4 linked regions of the Oryzias latipes genome follow. The protein of the gene in region 3 purifies or fractionates together with the protein of the main gene of each other region. This does not show direct contact. Links are inferred from orthologs where the notes say so. Each region holds a gene or a part of one and is shown on either strand. Other genes may lie near its edges. The genes, in order: potassium voltage-gated channel subfamily A member 1-like, trpc1, caveolin-1 and vcp.

Region 1 (6,369 bases), on a different chromosome or scaffold from region 3:
AGTGGAGCTGCAGCTGCAGAGCAGACGGTCATGGAAACGAAGCATCTCCTTCATCCTGTCATGCTGCCTCATCATCACACTTTATTGTTACTGGATAGAATTAGTGTTTTTATTTTCTTCATTATTTTTGAAGCACCATTCAGACTCCTGGAATGTTTCTAAGTACTGGGGAAGCAACATTATAGCTGGAAATAAACACTTTATTAACTTAATCATACTTTTACAACCTTATTGGTTAAGACCAATAAATTCATTAATTTTTTTATTCATACAGTGAAATATATTTTGTTGTGGAAATCAGACAATGTTGACTGTTCCATTTCTATATCTTAAGTAACCAAAATAAAAGTACTATGAATTTGCCGGGGTAAAAGCAGCTTCTATACAGTGGTGGACAAAATTGTTGGTACCCCTCAGTTAAAGAAAGAAAGTCCACAAAAAACAAACTAGTGAAATATGGCTGGACAAAAATGATGGTACGTCCATAAAAGACTGAACTAATAGCCCAGGGGGTCATGATGAACTCAGGTATGTCCTTTGATTGACATCACAGCTGTTTTCAAACCCACAATCAGTCTGTCTGCCTATTTAAAGGGAGACAAATAGTGAAAAGGTGTGAACCAGACTGAACATGGACAACAGAAAGCCATGGAGAGAATTGTCCCAGGACATTAGAAACACAATTATAGACAAACATGGTAAAGGTAAAGGCTATAAAACCATCTCTAAGCAGCTTGAAGTTCCTGTGAGCACAGTGGCACATATTATTCAGAAGTTTAAGACCCACGGGACAGTAGCCAACCTCCCTTGGCGATGGAAGAGGAACATTGATGACAAATTGAGGAGACGGATAGTTGGAACTGTCTCCAAAGAGCCCAGAACAACCTCCAAAGACATTAAAGGTGAACTCCTAGATCAAGGTACATCAGTGTCAGATCGCACCATTCGTGGTTGTTTGAGTGGACTTTGTGGGAGACGACCAAGGAGGACACCACTGTTGAAAGCAAACCATCAAAAAGCCAGACTAGAATTTGCAAAAATGCATGTAGACAAGCCACAAAGCTTCTGGGAAAATGTCCTTTGGACAGATGAGACCAAACTGGAGCTTTTTGGTAAGAAACATCAGCTCTATGTTGGTTGACTCAAAAATGAAGCATCCAACCAAAAGAACACTGTCCCTACTGTGAAACATGGAGGAGGCTCAGTTCTGTTTTGGGGCTGCTTTGCTGCATCTGCCACAGGATGTCTTGAAGTTGTGAAGGTCAAATGAGATCTCCAGATTATCAAGGCATTCTGGGTAGAAATGTGCTGCCTAGTGTCAGAAAGCTTGGTCTCAGTCGCAGGTCATGGGTCTTCCAACAGGACAACCATCCAAAACACACAGCCAGAAACCCCCAAGAATGGCTCAGAGAAAAGCGTTGGACTATTCTGAAGTGGATTCTATGAGCCCAGATCTGAATCCCATTGAACATCAGTGGAAGGAGCTGAAACATGCTATTTGGAGAACCGTCAAACCTGAGACAACTGGAGCAGTTTGCTCATGAGGAGGGGGCCAGAATACCTGTGGACAGGTGCAGAAGGCTCATTGACAAATACAGAAACCGTTTAGTTGCAGTGATTGTCTCAAAAGGTTGTGCAACAAAATATGAAGTTATGGTTACCATCATTTTTGTCCAGCCCTATTTCATTAGTTTGTTTTTTTTAAATAATTCTGTTCATCAAAAACTCAAAAGTAATGGTTGATTCTGATTTTTCAATTTTCAATACATATTAATTTATTGTTCCCTTTGAACCTTTCAAGTCATTTCAGTGAACATTGTGGACTTCCTTTCTTTAACTGAGGGGTACCAACTATTTTGTCCACCACTGTATGTGATACAGTTGCAGTGCTAAACATTGTAATCATTAAATAGACTGCATTAGATCGTATTATTACGATGAAAGACACATTAATATCCAGGTACAGTTTTTTAAGTCATACTCCTAAAAAAAAAAGTTTTCCAATAAAATATCTGGATACGTATCGTATCGCCGCTGTCCCCCTTCAGGGGTCGCCACAGAAAATCCGCTTTTACTGATTTACTCAGAGTTTGTAGCCGCTTTCAAGCGGTGGGGGTGTGGCCTTCTAAGAAGCTCCCTCCTGATTGGTGAGAGTGGTTGTCATAGAAACAATGACTCTGACCCATTTGGATCAAGAAAGTCAATTCAGTTGCCATTTTTGTCTGAATCACGTCCGTGTCGTGCAGAAATGGTGACTGAATCGACCCCCTCTGGTTGGAGCTGGTTGGAGCTTCATGGATGACGTCACTTAGTCCAGAACGGCGTAGGCCGAGCAGAACTGCAAACGTTTGGAGTTTCTGGAGCATTGTCATGGGACGAGTCTCTGCTCGTTTGGTCCACAAAAACCACAGGAATTCTGGAGGAATGTGACGTCATGAGCTTGGAGGTGGAAACGCCGCCAGCTCCAAGCTGAGGAGCATCAGTGACGACTGGAAACTTTCAGCGTTCATCATCTGAAACCTCAACTTGATTGTTTGTTTGTTTTTTTCATCACCAAAAGCTGACAGTTTGTTTCCAGCGGTGTGTGATGGCTCGATGACGTCACAGAAGCACGAGGAGAGTCGTGTTTCCTTCAGGGTCTTTGACCAGCGCGGCTGAAAGGAACAAAGAAGATCCTGGAGAAAAGGCTCCTTCAAAGGACAGAGTGCCGCCCGGGGGCCGCCCCCCCCCCCCCCACAGGAGAGGACTCGGACACAAAGGCAGAGAAGGCGAGGAGCTGGTCACGTGGGAGGACGGCTTTGGGAGAGACAAGGAGAGAGGGGGGGGGGGGGCATTCTTTGAAAAGGACATTCAAAGCGTGAAGAAGAGCTGGAGTCCAGAGTCTTCATCAATCTCCCACATAATCCCCGCCCACAAATCAGAGACTCCTGCCGCTCTGCAGAAACTATGTCCTAGAAAACAGAACTAAAACGTCAGAGGATGAAAAGGGAACTGGGAACGCTCTGAAAACAGATCAGAGGACTCGACCTCTGAGACCGGTGGGTGTGAAGGGTTCCCTGGAGAACCCAGAGAACATATTGGTTCCGCATGGAGATATTTGCACAAATGTTCCTTAGAAGAGTTCACGTCCCTGTGTTTTTGGAGGGGGGGGGTGTCTCTGAATGCTGACTGACAGCACAGAAATGCAACCGCCGTGCGCGCGCTTTGTGCCACAAACGGAGCGCGTCTCCGCTGCTGGAGAGAGGGAGGGAGCGCATCTCTCTCTCCTCTCAGACGTGTTTCGGTTTTCCGCGGCGGCTGAGCGCGCGAGCCTCACTCCTGACGTCAGGAGTGATCATCGCGGCTGCTCTCTAATCCGGGTCTGCGTCTCTTCCCGCGGTCTGGATGTTGACATCTCTCCCAGCTGCGGCGCTCCGGAGCGGCGGCGTTCCACGCATGCCCCCGCGCGCGGAGCAGCCGTGATCCAGAGCTCAGCTCCGCGCGCACAGCCCCCCCCCCCCCCCCCCCCCCTGTATCCGGACTCAAACCTGCGGGATGTTCGGGCTCCACGCGCCCCCTCAGCTTCTGCTTCAGTGACCGTGGATGGCAGCGGCATGGAGATCGCCTTGGTGAGCTTTGAAAACGGCGGCGCCAAAGGCGGCGGCGGGAATGCCGAGGAGAACTGCCGGCACGCGCTGGAGGTCCCTCAACCGGGCTTCGTCCAAACGGCGCTGGGAGAGGAGCGCGGGAAGGAGCTGAACACCCGCGGGAGCCCCCGGCAGCAGCTGAGCCCCTGGAAGATCAACGACATGAACACCACGCTGAGCTGCAGCGAGAACGCCATGGATGCGCTTTTACGCGCGGACCACAGCCCCCACCTGTTCGACGAGGACCTGCTGGACATGGACGTGGACGCGGAGAGCAACGAGCGGGTGCTCATCAACATCGCCGGGCTGAGGTACGAAACCCAGCTGGGCACTCTGAACCAGTTCCCGGAAACGCTGCTGGGAGACCCGGCCAAGAGGATCAAGTACTTCGACCCGCTCCGGAACGAGTACTTCTTCGACCGGAACCGGCCCAGTTTCGACGGGATTCTGTACTTTTATCAGTCCGGGGGGAAGATCCGCAGACCCGTCAACGTGTCCATCGACGTGTTCGCCGACGAGATCCGGTTCTACCAGCTGGGAGAAGAGGCCATGGAGCGGTTCCGCGAGGACGAGGGCTTCATCAAGGAGGAGGAGAAGCCGCTGCCCCAGAACGAGTTCCAGAAGCAGGTCTGGCTCATCTTCGAGTACCCGGAGAGTTCGAGTCCGGCGCGGGGCATCGCCATCGTGTCCGTGATCGTCATCACCATTTCCATCATCACCTTCTGCCTGGAGACGCTGCCGGAGTTCCGGGACGAGCGCGAGCTGGCCGTGAGCGTCCGGCCGGACAACGGCACGGCGCCGCGGCCCTCCCTCACCTTCTCGGACCCGTTCTTCATCGTCGAGACCACCTGCGTCATCTGGTTCACCTTCGAGCTGTTCGTGCGCTTCTTCGCGTGTCCCAGCAAGTCGGAGTTCTCCAAGACCATCATGAACATCATCGACATCATGTCCATCATGCCTTACTTCATCACGGTGGGCACGGAGCTGGCGGAGCAGCAGGGCCAGGAGCACCAGAACGGCCAGCAGGCCATGTCTCTGGCCATCCTGAGGGTCATCCGCCTGGTCCGGGTCTTCCGGATCTTCAAGCTGTCCCGCCACTCCAAGGGGCTGCAGATCCTGGGCCAGACTCTGAAAGCCAGCATGCGCGAACTGGGGCTGCTCATCTTCTTCCTCTTCATCGGAGTCATCCTCTTCTCCAGCGCCGTGTACTTCGCCGAGGCGGACGAGCCCGAGTCCCACTTCTCCAGCATCCCCGACGCCTTCTGGTGGGCCGTGGTTACCATGACGACGGTGGGCTACGGGGACATGCGGCCGGTGACGGTCGGGGGGAAGATCGTGGGCTCGCTGTGCGCCATCGCGGGGGTTCTGACCATCGCGCTGCCGGTTCCGGTCATCGTGTCCAACTTCAACTACTTCTACCACCGCGAGACCGACCAGGACCAGTCCTCCCTGAAGGACGAGCCCGCAAGCGGCCGCGCCAGCCCCGAGCCGCGGCGCCGGGGCAGCCGGGCCTCCGCCAAGTCCCAGGACGCGGAGAAGAACGAGGGGGGCGACGGGGGGGAGAAGAACATGAAGGCGAACAGCAGCGTGGACTTCAAGAAGTCCCTGTACGCCTTCTGCCTGGACACGCGCGAGACAGACCTGTAGACCCGGACCCGCCCGAGCCCGCAGAACCGCCCCCCAGCCTCACCCCCCTCCCCCGGGCTGCACAGGCTCAAAGGTCTCAACCCTCAACCTCAACTGTCCGCGCGTGCTCGATTAAGGAAAAAACTTGCGCGTGAGCTAGTGGGAAACGGGAGTGAGGCGCGCGCGCAGCCGTCAGGATATGGGATCATTTCTGGACACGCAGAGGATTAACGGAATCTGAACATGAACCTCGAGTGGGTCTCACGCTCACGCGCACAGACTTCAGACGAAAACAGAGGATCTTTTTTCACGGATTTTCCTTTTCCTGTTTGAAACTTTCAAATCGAACTTTTCTGACAAACTGAGTGGAAGTACGACAGGAGCGGGGAGCACGTGCACGGAGGAGGCGCGCACACATCAGGTCAGTGTCAAGCGTGCGCGCATGTTTATGGCAGCTGAGAGCTGCGTTCTCAGCTTCAGACTCGGTTCAAGTCGGACTCGTCCGGAACAAGTCCGACCTGATCTACGTCACAACCTCCTGAAACAGAAAAACGATCATTTTAAAAAGACACATTTCAGTCACATTCTTGGTGGGAAAAACGTTTTTCCTTCACTTATTTATGAAAGTTTTCTATGATCCAAACGTTAAATTGATCTTTTCTCTTTTTAGTCTTTTTATTTTTTAAATGTTCAAATAGTTGAAAACAAATTTTTACTAAAGCTATTCATGTTTTATTTGAGGAATAAAAATGATTACAGTTCGATCTATTTTCAATATTTTGTCTGATTTCTGCTCATTGATGCAAATGAAGGAGCAGTTATTCCTTTATGGACATGTATGTACATCATTTTTAAATGAAAGAAAAACATTTTTGACTCAAAACTTTACTTCCATCAATCACTTTTCTAGACAGGAAATCATGTTTTTTCATGTTCTTTAAAGAATTTGAGTTGATTTTGCAGCAAAACTTGTCCTCATGAAGGGATCCCTGATTTCTGATGACGGCGCCATCTGAAGTCTGGTTTTCAAGGCTTTTGACTGTTTGACCTCCTGTTGTTGTTCTGGTGCATAAACCCCCGTTTCTTTAAATGTTCATTCTCTGTCAAATATCTGCTG
Region 2 (4,596 bases), on a different chromosome or scaffold from region 3:
AGGTAAACCTTTACGGCTTATTAAGATATGCAAAAGAGTGGTTATCATCTGGTTGACTGTTTTGAATAATGGCTCTGAGTTTGCCTCCTTTACTGTGTCGTCACGCCCAACCGAATACCCGGATTGCTAGGTGAGCGGCAGAACTCACTGCTGGAACAGTCAATGAAAATCTATAGGATGCATTTATACATTAACAGATGCCAACCAGGCGCAATTTCTCACGTTCTGCCTCCCTGAATGTCTCTGCTGTTCCGCCACTGCATTCAGGTTTGTTTTGTGTGACCTCACCAGGCTTAAACTACATCTTCATGGGCCAGGTTGACGAGGAGGGCCGCGGGAAAATTGCCCCCCAGCACTTTGTTATGGCTTTCAAGACAAAGAACCAGAAAGGACTCAATGTCCTGAAAAACAAGCAGTGCTGAGCTCCTGTAGCTGTGAGGATCCCCTCCGAGGTGGTCTGCCCGGAGCGCAGCTGGAAATGGAAACAATCCGGCGGAAAACAAATCCCCGTCTCAGCAGCACAAACACAAGCCAGGATAAACAAAACCAAGTCTGTGTGTGGAGCTGCTACAGACACGCACCATTTCTTCTCTTTAAAAGAGTTTTTGTTTTCAATTTACTAATAATCTGGGACTATTCAGATGAAATGTTTGTTTAAAAATCCATTTTTTTCTACATTTTTCACAGTGTAAGCAGAAGGAAAAACAACTCAATATTATGATTTTACTTTTTTTTAATTGTTTTAATTTAAAGAGTAATGCTAAGCATGATGTCTGTCCCCAGATTAACACATCAGATTAAAATCCATTTGAGATTATTGCAGTTGTTGAATGGAGTAAAACCTGCTGTTGAAATCCAGTGTTCATTTTTCAATGGGCCGGGTTGGAAGTCTAAAATGTGGTGATTACAGTGCAATATTTCCTGTTTTTCTTTAAATCATTTCTCAGATTTTATGTAAACATTTATTTCTTCAATGGTTGCAAAAATGAACAACACACTTGTTTTAAAGGAAAAACATATTTTCATATAAAAAAGGTTATATATATTATTTATATTTGTTTTTCTTGGACAGAATTAAATTCTTTGAACATTTTCCTGTTTGTGTCACTGTTTAACTATGTTCATCCAGAAGTGGAAATTGCTTTGAATAAATGGGATTCTTCATGGTTGCCCTTAGCGAAAAGCAGTCTATTTAAGTGTACTACAAGTATACTTATTCTGTATTAAAAGTGAGGCAGTATAATTGCTTTTTCTATATATTGTAAATTTAAAATGTCAAAACATTAAGTCTGAGGAAGTATTCAGTTATTAATATACTTCCTACACCACATGTACATGCTCTACACCAGGGGTCTGTAACCTTTAACACTTAAAGAGCCATTCGGGTTGATTTCTCATTGACCACAACACAGTAGTAGCCACAAAATTAAATCAGTTCTAATTTAGTGACAATGTATTTTTTTAACCACAAGGATCACTCAAAATCATTGAATTTGTTCAATATGTTGAACCACTTGATGGATTGGAGCATTATGTGTAATGTAGTCGGTAGCCTGGTGGAGTATCACACATTGTTTTTCAACTTTTTGTGAATAAAGTTTGAGTTAGTTAACTTTACTTATTTTACTTTCTACTTATTACTTTACAGTTACTTTTTATTTGTCTTAAACTAGAGAGCCATAATGGAGGGGGAAAGAATCATGAGGCTCTGACTGTTGCAGACTTCTGGTCTATACCATGCTGTCCTTATATTTCATGGAATAAACCTCACGTGAATAACTTTTTGCTAAGGGTGACGTGACCTGGAACATTCTTCCCAGGTTTTTAACCAATTAAACTAAAAGAAGATCAAGTATTTCCATAAATTTTTATTCATTCCGTTGAAAACAATGGCTTTATATATTTACAAAAAAGACAAAGGTCTGACTTTGGGGGCTTTGGTTGCTGATTAAAAGTTTTCTAAAGTTTGATATAGTGAAGTTCCCTATGCAACTGCACATGTTGACATCCCAGATTAACACGAAATGAAGGTAGGAGAGGGAGAAGCGAATAAATGTTGTGGTTTTAGCTCCGTGGATAGAACATGGCATACTTGGAGGTCCTGAAGCCCAGCAGGTCTCTCATCTCATTGCGAAATTTGGACAAATCTTGGCGCAGGTCGTTCAGGTTCTCCACTGTGGCCTGGTCTGTGCTCTGCATCTTCTGCCTTGTGGAGGTCAGGTATCGGTGAACCAGGCAGCACATGATCTTCTGGTAGTTCTCATCCCGCTTTTGCTTCAGGTTCTTCCACTCCTGGAGGTAAACAACAGGAAGGAGGTAGGTCACATAAAAGACAGAAAGCAGAAAAGACCGGGGATCTTATTTTTCTCACTTTGAGGCTATTCTGTCTCTTCATTTTGCCCTTTGGAGTGTGAGAGCAGATCCACTTCCTCAAACTGGTCACCAGGTAGCAGACAGTCTTTGGTGAAGGGAGGATGTTGAAAGGTGGAGGCATAGTACACTTGTCATCAAAGTAGCTCAGCCAGAGTTTAGCTCGAGCAAACTTCCACTCCTTGTCCTCGTGATTCTACAAAAAGCACCAAAAAGTCAAGAAATGTGGCAACAAAAAGTAATCTTTATTTAAATCTAATTTCCAGCAGTTCTTTAACGTCAAAGAAAAGCTTTAGCAGCTGTGCAACATTTCAGGAACACTTGGAACAAAAAAAAACTCCACCAGTTCCTGCTCTGAACTCGGCTTTAATTACTCATGAAGAGAAACGTCAGACTAGTGATCCGTGCAGACTTACAGCAATTTGTCTGAAGCTCTTATGGAGCATGGCCACCAGCAGCTTGGTGAGTACAATAACCACCACGATGTTGTAGGTGCCTATGATCAAGGCACCAACAAAAGACCTCAGCTCCTCTGTGTAGCTGATTCGGGTGACGAAGAGGGCAACGTGGGCCAGCGAGAAGATGTACCAGAAGAGGGCGTAGCAGGTCCCCATAAACCTGGAAAACAGGTAAACGAGGGTTTTGGTGAACACACACACAAAAAAAAGTAGAATTCTGGTTTTATAAAAAAGAAGGGGTTTTCAAAGCAAAATAGATTTCCTCCAATCCAACAGAAAAATTGCTGCAGGTACTCCCCTAAGCTTAATTAATAAACGAGCAGCTGCAATCCTGCAGTAATGTGCAGTTTTTTAGAAGAATATTAGCTTTGTTTGCAGGGTAGGCATTCACTGCAGAGGCTGCTGAAACTCCTCCTAGCTTTCCTCCACTTCCTTTACAGAAAACATTTCATCTAAACATAAGTGATGATAAAAATGTTCTGCCTAAATGTAAACATCAACAAAAAGAACGCATCCTTCAGAGCATTTTCCATATGTTTAAAGACATTTAAATAGTCACTGTATTCATTTGTGCAACACATCTGTTCTCTACAGGTTGTAATACATTTTTAGTTTCTCAAAAAAGACAATACTCTGCTAAACTGTATTTTTTTCATATGTTTGCTTTATTCCTGTTTCTTTTTAAAACACACTTTAATTGTGTTTAAATTTGAATTTTGATACAGATTAGGAGTAAAAACAAGAAACATGTCTGTCATCAGTTAAGAAACATTCTGGACATTGACCACTGATGCAGAAAGGTTTGATCATACGTGTGGAATGCGTCGTTGCTCTGTTGCTGGCAGAAGATGCCTTCGCAGTCCTTGGTTGTTTTCTTTTGTGGGTCTTTTAGGTCTTTTCCGTACAGCTGAGTGAGTCCAATGGTGAAGGAGAATAGGACCAGCAGGAAAAGGCCCAGAAACTTTCCAAAATCCTGCAGCATCTGACCCATGGAGATCTGTAAGGCATTGACAAAGAATCTGACATTTGCCCACTGAACCTTTATAGAAGTATTTACAGTAGTAATTTACAGTAGTGTCCTGTTTTTACCGATTGTAGATTATTTCTACATTCAAGCTACCTCAGCATTGTTTCTCTCACAGCAAAGTGGAAAAACCCCCAACATATTCTGGCTGCATTAGACCTAAAGTTAAGAAGTTTTCTTGAAAAAGCCTTATGGACTATTAAGAAAAAAACACTTTTTATAGATCTGAGCAAACAAATGCTCGAACACGAAGCCTGCCCTTACAAAACATAAACAGACAGTGTCTAGTGCAGCTGCTCTGCCCGCACCTCAGGGCGAAGGACAACTGGCATGTTTGCACTGAAACCAAGGCAGCTTGTTTAAGAAGGATCGGCCTGTTAGGATGATTCCAAACAGAGTAAATCCCTTCAGTGTACTCCTTTACCGCTGGTAAATAGCTAGCTGAGGTTGTTCCATGCTTGCCAACCCTGACAGATAGCCTTAGTTAATTACTGTACAAACAGAACGCAATGCGGACTAAAGGGGGATTTACTGAGTTTATGCTATGAAAAATGCATTTGGAGCAGCCCAAAAAAGTTAACCCTACATCTTTGCAAAAGAAAGAGATGTAGCATACTGGACAAGAGTAAATACCAAAAACGTTATCTGAACTTTAAGGTGTAATAAATGACATATTTTCTGACAAACTCTTGCACCGTTAGTGACGGTGGACTCAGGCTGTTGCTGAGGTTAAGTCTGGGCCAC
Region 3 (6,457 bases):
AAGCAACCGTAATATTGAGTAAATAGGGCCAAGTGCTATTTCCAGAGTTTTATCTTCAGGCTGTCAGACATGCTTGACAAGACAGAAGAGTGCGGTGCATCAACAGACTTCTGCTGGAGTTTCGGGGGAAGAGAGTCTGCGGTTTGGTTACAGATACGAATTAACATGACCGGCATTGAAAACATTGGTCAATATGCAAAATTGGATTTTTTTTCATGTGTCCACTCCCCTTTCTTATCCCTTGTGCTATCTTAGATGACCCCCCCCCTTACATTGACGTGTTCTCCCTACCATGACAAAGGTGGATAAAGGTGGAAAGATTTCATGTAATCCATGGACACCAGTGAAGATCACAAATCATTGAAGAAAAAAGGTTCAGAGCACTGTCTAGTGGGTCTAGATGGTAAATGGTAAATGGCGTATACTTATATAGCGCTTTCTACCTTCTTACGAAGGCCCAAAGCGCTTTACAGTCACAGTCCCATTCACCCATGCACACACACATTCACACACATTCACCCACTGATGGCGGCTCCGCTGCCAAACACTGGCACCAACCTCCCACCAGAGGCAAGGTGGGGTTCAGTGTCTTGCCCAAGGACACTTCGACACATGGGCGTGCAAGGCGGGAATCGAACCTGCAATCTTATGTTCATGGGTCGACCGCCCTACTGTGCACCACGGCCGCCCCAGATGATGACCCAACTCCCAATATTAACGTGCCTAGGATAGCACAAGGGTTAAACTAAATGGCATCCATGTGAATGATTCTCCAAGGAAAGGGAAGTTTGAAGCTAAAAAGTGAAGTTTATACCAAACACTATGAATAAACGATGTTCATCCTCTTTAGTTTGTCCTCGGTACACCTGAGTCTGCTGCTGGAACTCAAGCTTCTCCACGCAGCTTCAAAAACGTCCTGTGCAGGCATTTGACCTCCACTCTCTGCACATAAAAAAGGCCCACAACATAAGGAAGGGAAAGAATAAAAAAGGCTCTGAGAGGGAATATCCATTGTTTCATGTGGCCAGATGATTAAGGCCAGCTGTGGTTGCAGCTGCAAGAGAGCCGTGGGTTTTCTCACATGTATGAGTCAAAGCATCCATGCACTCAGGATGTGTGCTGCTTGTCATATGTGTGTGGAGCTGTGTGACGGCGTGGCTGATTACACAGTGGATGACCGCAGAAGGGATTCCCTGTTCGGACTGGATTTAGCTCTTTCATACCAACCAGCTGCTTCCATCAACGGAAAAGACACGACTGCTCTACTTATAGACCCACTCTGATCTGTGCCATCTATCCAGCCGTGCAGTTTTGAGCCAAATATCAGCTCAAACCAGAAAAAACAAACCATTAATGGATCTGTTTACAAGTGGATGCATCAGAATGGAGCAAAGCGGGGAGCTTGTGGCACACCCAGCATATTTTCTATGCAACCAATGCGATCTTTTTCAGAGTTTTTTCTATGCTCCTGAATCACAACAATTTCAGTAAAGACACACTCAGAAATGGCGTTTTTGAGTTTCATTTTCTTTATATAAGTCCTCCATCATCAGAAAATTACCACAAGAACATGTTAAAAACAACAAAAACACCATTTTCAATGGAGTGGGTCTTAAACGTAGCACAGATTTAAGAATAGCTTAAACCTTTTCAGAAGTTATCATGGAAACTGGAATTCATTACACAAGTTTCTTGTTTACAGTCCATGACCATGTGATGAAAACTAACTTTGAGGGCGGTCAGTTGACTTGATCATAAAGCCTCAATCTGCCCTGACCGCAGGGAGAGTCTGACTCACCGTCACAACTGAGAGCAGGAGGATGCAGAGCGGTGAAGAAGAGACAGAAACAGGAAATCTTAAGCGCTTTGCCAAGTCTGTGCAGTGTAATAAGAAAGGATGTGTTGGTCATTATTGAATTCACTCACTTCTGCATTTAGTGCCCACTTTGTCTCATGCTAGTGACTGGGTGTTTCCAAGGGGCAACATTTGTACGTTACACTGCAGATAATGTTCCCGTGGAGTGAAATATCAGCTGAATCTGATAAAATCGAATCATTTTGTGGAGGAATTCCAGAAATAACATGAGAGGAAGAACTGTTTATGAGTTTGGCGGTTGGTTTAGCGATTCATACATGTCTTCAGATTTAAATCCTCTGGCTGGAATGCTGACAGGTGAAAGGGGGGAGATCAGAACACTGGGAGTGGTGAGGGATCCCCCTCTGACTAAGCAGCTACTTGGGTGTTTCCCTGTTTTAACAGCGCAGTTCAGGCATTTCAGAGGCCTGACCCATCCTTCTCATGCAGGGGGCTGTTTGACCCCGCTCTGATGTGAAAGCCCGCCTCAGCTGGAGTGGAGAGTGACAGACAGCTGACGCTCCCCTCCAGTATCATAGCGCCTCAGGTGGCTTCCAGCTCTCCCTCTCATAACCTCTGTGCGCATGTCCCTTATGGAAAGAATTCAGGGTTTCAAGGCAACCACTGTGGGAAACGTGAGTCCCAAAAACAGGAAATTCGTACTGTTTCCTTTGTTCCGATGGTCACGTTTTTAATCCGTGCGTGCAGATGGGCTGTGCAGCCTGCGCAAAGCACAACTCCATCTGCAAAGTTCCTTCCTAATAGGGGGAAAGAAAGTAAGAGGCCGCTCTGGAGAGGCAGCGCGCAGCAGCGTCTGAGCCCCGGGAGCGCACGATGACGCACAGGCGCAGAAAACACCAAACCAGATTTTAACACTTGGACAGTTTTTGATCACATTCTTGGACTTTAAAAGCAAAAAGTGGCCGAAATGTCTGTGACACAGGAGTCTCTCAACTGTTATTTTTTGTTGTCACAAAAAGTCTTGAAAGATTCTGCAGCTGCAACTTTAAAAGTAACTTGAAAAGTTCGAAATTAGCAGGTCTGACTCACCTTGACAACGTCGTCGTTTATTTGTTTAGGGTCCCGGTTGACTAGATCTATCTCTTTGGTGTGGACATCATCCATCGTCTTCTCGTTTACGCTGTCGTTGTCCATGTCTTTGTTGTTTGGCTTGTATATGTTCCCCTGCTTTCGGATGAAGGGCGACTGCAGAAACTCCTGTGGAGATCCGAGGGAGGCAAACAAGTGAGGAAGAGGAGGAGGTGGTGGAGGCGGAGTGGTGCGCAGCGCGCCGAGAGGGAGCGAGACTGCAGTGCAAGTCACCGGCCTGCCTCGAGAACAGGGATGGGTTTAAGCGCACTGAACACGCAGCACCACACCCCTGCACTCAGCCGCAAGGGGTCCTCACCACCCACACAGTGCTCCTGTCCTGACCTATCATACAGTTGGCTCCACATGGATGTGGACGCATGGCAACGCTTCAAAACATTTTCTGTGAAAAAGCAACAGTGTTTCATCTCACCATCCAAGCAGAATATCATCTACTAATCTTTTTTTTTTTTTTTTTTTTTTTTTACCAGAGGTGACATTTGTAAAATATGAATATTCATACATGCAAGTATATGTTGTAAAAGTGAATCCTCTCAAAGCTTTTATGATTTTGATCATTTGTGGAAAAATGAGGTTGAAAATCCAACTTTTAAACGCTTTTAAAGTCTCTTCCTGGATGAAGCAGAGCAATCTGACGCGTAAAGCTCAGGATTTGGTTGCGTTAATTGGCTTTTTCCTAAAGCGCAGCGCTTGCCACAGCAGGAAACTAAAAATACTAGAATAACTAGTTTAACAGAATAAAACAACAACAAGCAAATATCAAAAAGGGGAAATAATTTAATTTAAAAGGGGAGAGCCATACTGTACCTCGTCAGCGTCTCCGTCAGTGCGCTCCCCTGTCATTCTGTCCTCAGGAGCAAATGGGGTCCTCCGTCCAAACACAGATCACTCTGGGAAGCGAAGTGGGAGGCGTGAGCGCGGACTACCGCGCGCCTGATGATGAAATCAACCCTGAGCTGCCTTGGCGCCGAGTGAGACAAAACTGCGGAAAGTCTGAGCGCGCAGGGGAAAGCTCCGCTGCGTCTGCACAGCCACCTGCGTGTGCGCGCTCGGCACAACAGCCGCTTGGGCTGCAGAGAAGGACGTGATCTCACACCAAAGGGCTGCTGTGACACGCACGGAAAAAACCCTGCTTCGTTCAGGAATGAAGGCAGAATAAGACGGCACTTGTTCAGAGGGAGGAGGGTGAGATGGGATTACTGAATGTCGAAGTGGGAAAACCTGCCATACCTGAGTCCCAAACCGATCGATTGTTCCAAGAGAAAAGAAAACAAACAAGCAAACAGATCAAGAGGGGGAAAATGCAGAATTAGTAATAACATTTGAGAGCAGGTGTCAATGCTTTTCCTTTTCTTGTCAGCTTCAAGTAAAGCACCCGGCATCCCTGATAGTTTCCTCTCACCTCTTCTTGGCAGCAGCTCACTCATCAGTGGAACAGAAGCAATGTATGGATTTTATGGAATGGTCTTTTTCTTCTACGTGTTACCCTTTTTTGATAGGCTTCTTGTGCACAATAATTAGTCAGGGTGAAATGCGGAGCACTTATTTCATTACAAGTAGCTGTAGTGTACCTTTAAGATGATCTTTTCTGTTTCTAAAAAAATATGTTATCTTCTGTAAGCAGACTGATATCTGCATAATTATTGATACCTGTGGCAGAATTTGGCTTGGGGCCTTACTGCTGGGTTGTTCTGTGTGACTGGGATTCCTTTGCTCCACCCCTAAACTCTACTGTCAGTGCCCATGAGGGTAACAGCCGCAGCAGGTCTACTCCTTTAATGTGCTATCCTAGGTACGTTACCATTGGGATTTGGGTCATCTAGACCCACTAGACAGTGCTCTGAACCTTTTTTCTTCAATGATTTGTGATCTTCACTGGTGTCCATGGATTACATGAAATCTTTCCACCTTTATCCACCTTTGTCATGGTAGGGAGAACAGGTCAATGTAAGGGTGGGGTCATCTAAGATAGCACAAGGGTTAATTTGCCCTGATACCTGTAACAATGCTACAGTCTCACTATGGAGTGGAACTTAGAGACCAACTCCAATAAACAGTGTATTTTTTGGTGTTGTTTTGTGGCATTTTTCTGATGATGGAGGACAAATAAAACTAATATTGAAATTGCATCACTGAGTATTTCTTAATTCAAATAACTGTGAATAAGGGACACAGAATAAAAATTGCAGTTTAAAAAAAGAGCATATTTGTTACATAGAAAATACGTTGGGCGGGCCACAAACATGCTCTGCTCCATTCTGATGCATCCAATTGTACCCATTCCAACCCTTTGAGCCTGTAGACGTACGTCTTTGTTTTCCTGGTCTGAGCTGGAGTCTGGATCTAAACTGTATGAATGGATAGCTCCAGTATTGCTCACCATTTTTGTTGCATCGATGATGTTAGGTCGGGGGTGTCATGGATGGATGACGGGAAATTAGGCAGAAATGCGCCACACCAACAGTCCAGCCCACAGCTCAGAGTTGAATTTTTAATGAACTTATGCCGCTCTGTAGAAACTTATGGAAGTGATTCTGTAGAATAATTAAAAATAAAAGTCAGAACCAGAAATGCTTTTTCATTTTCAAAATGAAGCTGCATTTTTGACTCAAAATGAAAATAAAAAAGCAATCCACCAAAATGTTTTTTCTTTCCATCTTCAACACAACTTATTCTGTGTCAGAATAAAAACGAAAATGCAAAGAGGGGATTGCATTTTCATTTTAGCATCCACCCTGCAAACATTGTCGCATTATTCATTTCGAAAGAGCATTTCCAGAGGGGAGACGGGGCGATGACATCAGTGCTAAATCCGTGTGTCCGGCTGCTAACAGACACATGCTAGGAGCAGTGGAGCTCATTTAGAAGATAGTCTCCTGCAGCTTCACGCTGATTTTGCTGTTCAATGACAGCTGGAGTCCCATCAACAGCTATAGCAGATTTCACCATGCTAAACGTTTGCTGGTTGGACCAACACACACTCAGCTTCACGCTGAGTGTGTGTTGGTCCAACCATCTATCTTCTAAATGTGCTTTTATTGTTATGATTATTATTAAGGGCCTGCTCACTCAATTTTTTTAAATCCGTTCGGTCAGTGCTTTTTTCTTCGCTGGAGGACCCGAAAGACGAGTTAGCATTAGGCTAATATGTGCTTTAAACATTAGCCGTGGAGGTACTTAAAACTCCTTGCGGGCAATGAGCATATTGGATGTAAATATGTGGGAATTACATCATCCTTTATTTTTTTCTGGACACCACTGGAAACACATATTCATATGATGGTTTCTCAGATCATATCAGCACTTCTGCCTTCGGTGAACGGGAGATCGGATAGCGGGGTTTCGCGCTCCGCTATGCGAAGGCAGCTGCTGGTCCGAGGGGGGGGGTGCAGGGAAATGCTGCTACGTAGTCCTGAGAAGCTGTCTACAATCATCAGGAGTTCACAACCATCACACAGCCCTCTCCTCTGCCGCTAACACAAAGCTCCACTG
Region 4 (5,006 bases), on a different chromosome or scaffold from region 3:
CCATCCGATCTTGGTTGTGCAGCATTTCATTTCCAAACTACTGTTAATGCTAGGATAAATCTAAATTGTATTCAACACGTTTAGCTGAGGAAAATTACCACAAAGGTAAAGGTTGGAACCAAAGTATACCAGCCCTCAAGGTCAAAGGGTTTTTAAATGTTTTTGATTTTATTTTTAATGGATTCAGTTTAAGTACATTTGCACGAGCATGGTCCTTTTTACACCAGACTCTGAGGCGTGAAGAGCTCTTTGTGACTTCCAAACTGTGGAACACCAAGCATGATCCAGAGGATGTGGAAGACGCCTGCAGGACCAGTTTGGCCCACTTGGGTCTTTCTTATCTGGACCTTTACCTCATGCACTGGCCCATGGCTTTTCAGTGAGTGGTATTTAGGAGAACGTGCCCCGCAAAACAGATGCATTTTATCACAAACACTATGCTGACGTTTCAGGAAAGGGAAAGAGCTGATGCCCCGAAGAAACGATGGAACCATCTGCTACTCTAACACGCACTACAGAGATACTTGGAAAGCCATGGAGAACCTGGTGGATAAAGGTCTTGTGAAGGCTATAGGATTGTCCAACTTCAATGCTAGGCAAATGGAGGAAATCATCCGTGTAGCAAAACACAAACCTGTGGTGAACCAGGTTGAACTATTTCTACATCTTTAATTAAATTACAATTCATTACAAAATGAGAACCTGAGAATTAAAGTCTTACATTACAGGTAGAATGCCACCCTTATCTGTCTCAAGCAGACCTTCTGTCACACTGTCAGTAAGTGAGACACAGAAGATCTTAACTTTTCTTCTAAGACTATTCAAAACTCTTCATAAACCGCACTCTTTTCTTCTGTTTTCAGGTCTTTGGCAATTTGTGTGACGGCCTACAGTCCTCTGGGGAGTGGAGACAGACCCTGGGCATCTCCAGATGAACCCAGTCTACTGGAGGATCCTAAACTGGGGGTAATCGCTCAAAGATACCAGAAATCACCTGCTCAGGTGATCCTCAGGTATGACCAACCATCTTTACAACTCACATACGCCTTCAGATCCAACAGAAAACTAAAACGTAATCATCTCACACCTTAGGTGGCACATTCAGAGGGGCGTGGCATGCATCCCCAAAAGTGTTACGCTCTCCAGAATCCAGCAGAACCTGAACGTGTTTGATTTCAACTTGTCGCAAGAGGACATGAAGCTGATCAATTCTTTCAGCTGCAAGAGGCGTTTCATCGTTCCGACAGCAGTGGTGAGAACTCAATGTATGAACCTATGTGCTCTCCCCCACTCTTAATGGGGGGGGGGGGGGGAATTCAAGTCACTTAATGGTCAAATGAAGTATTGCACCACAACTCTATTGGGTAAAGCTCCAATTACTGTAGGCAAAAAAGCTCAGGCTGTGAATTTACTAAGGGCCTGGTTAGAAATTTAGGATGTATGGAGAAATGTTAGTTCAGATCATGAAGTTATTGGGAATTCTAGAAAGAAAGAAAAAAAACAGATACCCAAAAAAAGTGTAAACCATGTATACCATTTTTTAAATGAATTGTTTTTTCTTGCAATTTGCATTTTCTGACCAAAACATTTCCAACTCTTTTACAGAAGGATGGCAAGACAGTGTGGAGAGATGCAGAACATCCACATTTCCCTTTCCACGACGCCTACTGAGTCTACACTCAAGACCAACTAACTTGTTGGGAATAAATGCCAACAAGGACACACTTTAGGAGTGACACTGTTGACTGACAGAACTGCTTTCCAGTCAATACATTTTCATTTTTTCCTTTAGCAGCATTAAAACACTGAAGCTTAAACGAGACCTTCTGTAGTTAAGTGGAAAAAATAAAAACTCTTGCCAACACCCATCTTTTGCATCATTAGCTAGGATTGTGTACAGTTTGCATGCAAAGATGTGGGTTTAAATAAAAATAATTAGGGGGTTAGATGCCATAAGGAATCTTTGCCCTTAAAGAGGAAACACAAAAAACAAAATATTTCAATTTCTTCAGATTTTATTTTCAACAACATAACCTTGACAAATCTGTAATACATTATATGCTACTGTTTATTTTAAAAAAGAAAGGAGAAATATCAGCAATGTGTTTTTTTTGTCTTTCCAAGTCTCGCACATATTCCAATCAGCATAGCCATTTGTGTTGAGAAATACAGAGAATGAGGCCACTCAAAAAAAAAAAAAAGAAAAAAAAAAGAAACCCAGTCACCCAGCCACCCCACTGAGAAGAAACTCTGCGTCTGACTCACCTTATATTTCCAAAATCCCCAACTCAGAATGAAGTCAGGGTAAGCCAATAAGCTACATGCTTTCTCAATATGGGGGGGGGGAGAATAAAAAAAAAAAAAAACATGAAAGAAGCACAAAGTCCTAAAAATGTGGAATCTGGTGAGAATTTGTACAGGTGTGATCCCAGTACTGGCCACTGAGGGGCAGTCTGCTTTTATCCGTAAAGATCATCATCATTATCTTCATTGAACACCGGACCAGTTCCCGCTCCGCCTGCACCATGACTTGGACCACTTCCTCCAGGAGTACTAGAGGGAAACCTGAAAGGCAAGAAAACTTATTACCTACTTTTGTGAAACCCAACAATTTTCTAATATTGTAAACAGATAATACAATCCTTCTGAGGCCATTGTCGTATTAGGATGCCCCCCTAAACAAAATGCAGCTTTGGCTGCTGTTGACTTATTTGCTCATTAGAAGTACTTCAGCATCTTCCACATTGGAAAAACATTCCAATTTCACAGCTACAGACCTGAAGCTTCCAAATCCACGGCTCTGCTGCAGTGTCTGAGCAAACATCTCATATTTGCGAATATCATTGTCACTGACAGAACGGCGAGCAAATCTCATTGCTTCTTCAAAGTGGTCTTTCCTGATTTCTGGAACAGGATCGTCCTCTTCAACTTCCTGTGAGGGCATGACGGCACAAAAAAACAGGATGGAAATGGTTAGGTCCACAAAGAATCCCAAGCAGTGCAGATGTTCATTCCAGGATAAGCAGCATTTGAACAGTCCTGACCATAGCAGATGGGTTGGTCTGCCTTTCCCTCTCTCTGCGGATCTCACTCTCAATGCTCTCTCTGATGGCCAGTTTGCACGCCCGCTGGCAGATCTCGGTAAGATCTGCTCCAGAGAAGCCGTTGGTCATCTTAGCCAGGAAGTCCAAGTCCACATCCTAAATTTTGTAAAACTATTAGTTTATTTTTTCCAAGTGGAGAGAACATTTGTGCAATAATACCAAAGTTGCTTTTACATTGGATTTGAAAACAAATGCCACAGTTGGTGGACCTTCAGAAAAATCTACACAACTTTTGTTACACAGATAAAGCTTCATACATCCTGGTGGTGGGAGGAACAACTGTCACCTTGCTGATGGGACTCTTGCGGAGGTTGGCCTTCAGGATGCTGATCCTGCTCTTCTCATCGGGCAAGGGGATGTAGATGAGCTGATCGAGGCGGCCGGGTCTCAGAATGGCAGGGTCAATGATGTCTGGTCTGTTTGTGGCTCCGATGATGAAGACATTCTTCTTGCTCGACATTCCATCCATTTCCGTCAGGATCTGGTTGATCACGCGGTCAGCTGCTCCACCGCCATCACCAACGTTGCCGCCACGAGCCTTAGCTATGGAGTCAAGCTCGTCAAAGAAGAGAACACATGGAGCAGCCTGACGAGCCTGGAGACAAGACAAAAACCAAACAGGTTTATTTCGTTTTACAACTTTATGTATGAATTCTTTAAAAAAAAAAAAAAAGGGGGGGGGGGGGTCGCTTACCTTGTCAAATATCTCCCTGACGTTGGCCTCAGACTCTCCAAACCACATGGTGAGCAGCTCAGGTCCTTTGATGGAGATGAAGTTTGCCTGGCATTCGTTGGCAATTGCTTTGGCCAGCAGAGTCTTACCACAACCAGGGGGACCATAGAAAAGTACACCTTTGGAAGGGGTCATGCCAAACTTCAGGAACTTGTCTGGATGCTCCACTGGGTACTGAATTAAGGGAAGGAGGATGCACATTTACCACAGTCCCAGACATTTCAATCCCGGCACTTTCATATGATGTTACACATACCTGGACCAACTCCTGCAGCTCTCTCTTAACATCTTCCAGACCTCCAATATCATCCCAGGTGATGTTGGGAACTTCAACAATCGTCTCCCTCAGTGCTGATGGGTTACTCTGGCTCAGAGCCCACTGCAAGACAGCACTGATCGGGTTAGCATTGATCCAGCCCAGTGCTAGCTGTGTGTACTAATGGACTACTATATGATTTCAAACGATTCCATTACAGGTTTACCTTGAAGTCATCCATGGTAACAGCAAGTGAGTTCATGACTTCAGCATCGATGGTCTCGTCCTCAAGGTCGATCAGGTCCATCTTCTTTCTAATGGCCTGGAGAGCAGCCTCAGAGCAGAGAGCAGCCAGATCTGCACCTACATGACCATGGGTCTCATTGGCAACCTGCAAAAGACAATCAAATTCACTGTAGAAACCAAAGTTACACCACTATGTAAAAAAAACCTGCGATAATGATTAATTACATTTTAACTTAAAATATTCACAAACTAATAGAAAAAAGAAATTTATCATTTATCAAGAAAAAGGCATCTACTTGAACATGTTGTATTTTGGACAAAAATAAAGGACTTTTGAAGGCACAAACCTGTTCCAAGTCCACATCATCAGCCAGTTTCATGTTCTTGGTGTGAATCTGCAGAATCTCCAATCTGCCGGTTGCATCAGGGATGCCAATATCCACTTCTCTGTCAAAACGGCCTACAATGGAAAGGTGTGAAAATAAAATTGGATCAATGAAAATGAAGAAGTTTACCATCTATCTAAAAACCTAAAATTTATAAGATCATCAACTTAAAAACTTCTAACTTAATTCATTAAATTTGTTGAATTTCTTTACCAGGCAAAACATTGACCTCCATTTTAAAAATTGGAATTCTCTTTTTTTTCTTTAAATCAGAATATGAA

Evidence for each region.
Region 1: the proteins of caveolin-1 (region 3) and potassium voltage-gated channel subfamily A member 1-like purify together in Homo sapiens (affinity purification with western blotting, with the first as the bait; 3 studies listed by BioGRID). This does not show direct contact. The link is inferred for Oryzias latipes from reciprocal best matches to the Homo sapiens genes CAV1 and KCNA5.
Region 2: the proteins of caveolin-1 (region 3) and trpc1 purify together in Homo sapiens (affinity purification with western blotting; 3 studies listed by BioGRID and IntAct, with this or other methods). This does not show direct contact. The link is inferred for Oryzias latipes from reciprocal best matches to the Homo sapiens genes CAV1 and TRPC1.
Region 4: the proteins of caveolin-1 (region 3) and vcp purify together in Homo sapiens (affinity purification with mass spectrometry; 5 studies listed by BioGRID and IntAct, with this or other methods). This does not show direct contact. The link is inferred for Oryzias latipes from reciprocal best matches to the Homo sapiens genes CAV1 and VCP.

The regions. Positions count from the first base shown.
Region 1 is NC_019881.2:23,510,827-23,517,195, forward strand, and holds the start of potassium voltage-gated channel subfamily A member 1-like, read left to right. Parts: upstream 1-2,414; 5' UTR 2,415-3,161; coding exon 3,162-5,273; 3' UTR 5,274-5,673; intron 5,674-6,369. UniProt on the Homo sapiens protein: Voltage-gated potassium channel that mediates transmembrane potassium transport in excitable membranes. Forms tetrameric potassium-selective channels through which potassium ions pass in accordance with their electrochemical gradient.
Region 2 is NC_019878.2:19,045,194-19,049,789, reverse strand, and holds the end of trpc1 (short transient receptor potential channel 1), read right to left. Parts: intron 3,826-4,596; coding exon 3,641-3,825; intron 2,989-3,640; coding exon 2,787-2,988; intron 2,567-2,786; coding exon 2,372-2,566; intron 2,293-2,371; coding exon 2,065-2,292; 3' UTR 1,854-2,064; downstream 1-1,853. Other genes in the region: pcolce2 (procollagen C-endopeptidase enhancer 2), read left to right, coding at 292-422. UniProt on the Homo sapiens protein: Forms a receptor-activated non-selective calcium permeant cation channel. Forms a heteromeric ion channel with TRPC4 or TRPC5 that has reduced calcium permeability compared to the homomeric TRPC4 or TRPC5 channel.
Region 3 is NC_019864.2:2,996,739-3,003,195, reverse strand, and holds the start of caveolin-1, read right to left. Parts: upstream 4,037-6,457; 5' UTR 3,809-4,036; coding exon 3,773-3,808; intron 3,074-3,772; coding exon 2,906-3,073; intron 1-2,905. UniProt on the Homo sapiens protein: May act as a scaffolding protein within caveolar membranes. Forms a stable heterooligomeric complex with CAV2 that targets to lipid rafts and drives caveolae formation. Mediates the recruitment of CAVIN proteins (CAVIN1/2/3/4) to the caveolae.
Region 4 is NC_019867.2:13,582,509-13,587,514, reverse strand, and holds the end of vcp (transitional endoplasmic reticulum ATPase), read right to left. Parts: intron 4,800-5,006; coding exon 4,687-4,799; intron 4,485-4,686; coding exon 4,320-4,484; intron 4,217-4,319; coding exon 4,094-4,216; intron 4,012-4,093; coding exon 3,799-4,011; intron 3,700-3,798; coding exon 3,391-3,699; intron 3,201-3,390; coding exon 3,045-3,200; intron 2,933-3,044; coding exon 2,778-2,932; intron 2,566-2,777; coding exon 2,460-2,565; 3' UTR 1,998-2,459; downstream 1-1,997. Other genes in the region: alcohol dehydrogenase [NADP(+)] A-like, read left to right, coding at 228-379, 453-648, 729-778, 864-1,013, 1,093-1,252, 1,606-1,671. UniProt on the Homo sapiens protein: Necessary for the fragmentation of Golgi stacks during mitosis and for their reassembly after mitosis. Involved in the formation of the transitional endoplasmic reticulum (tER).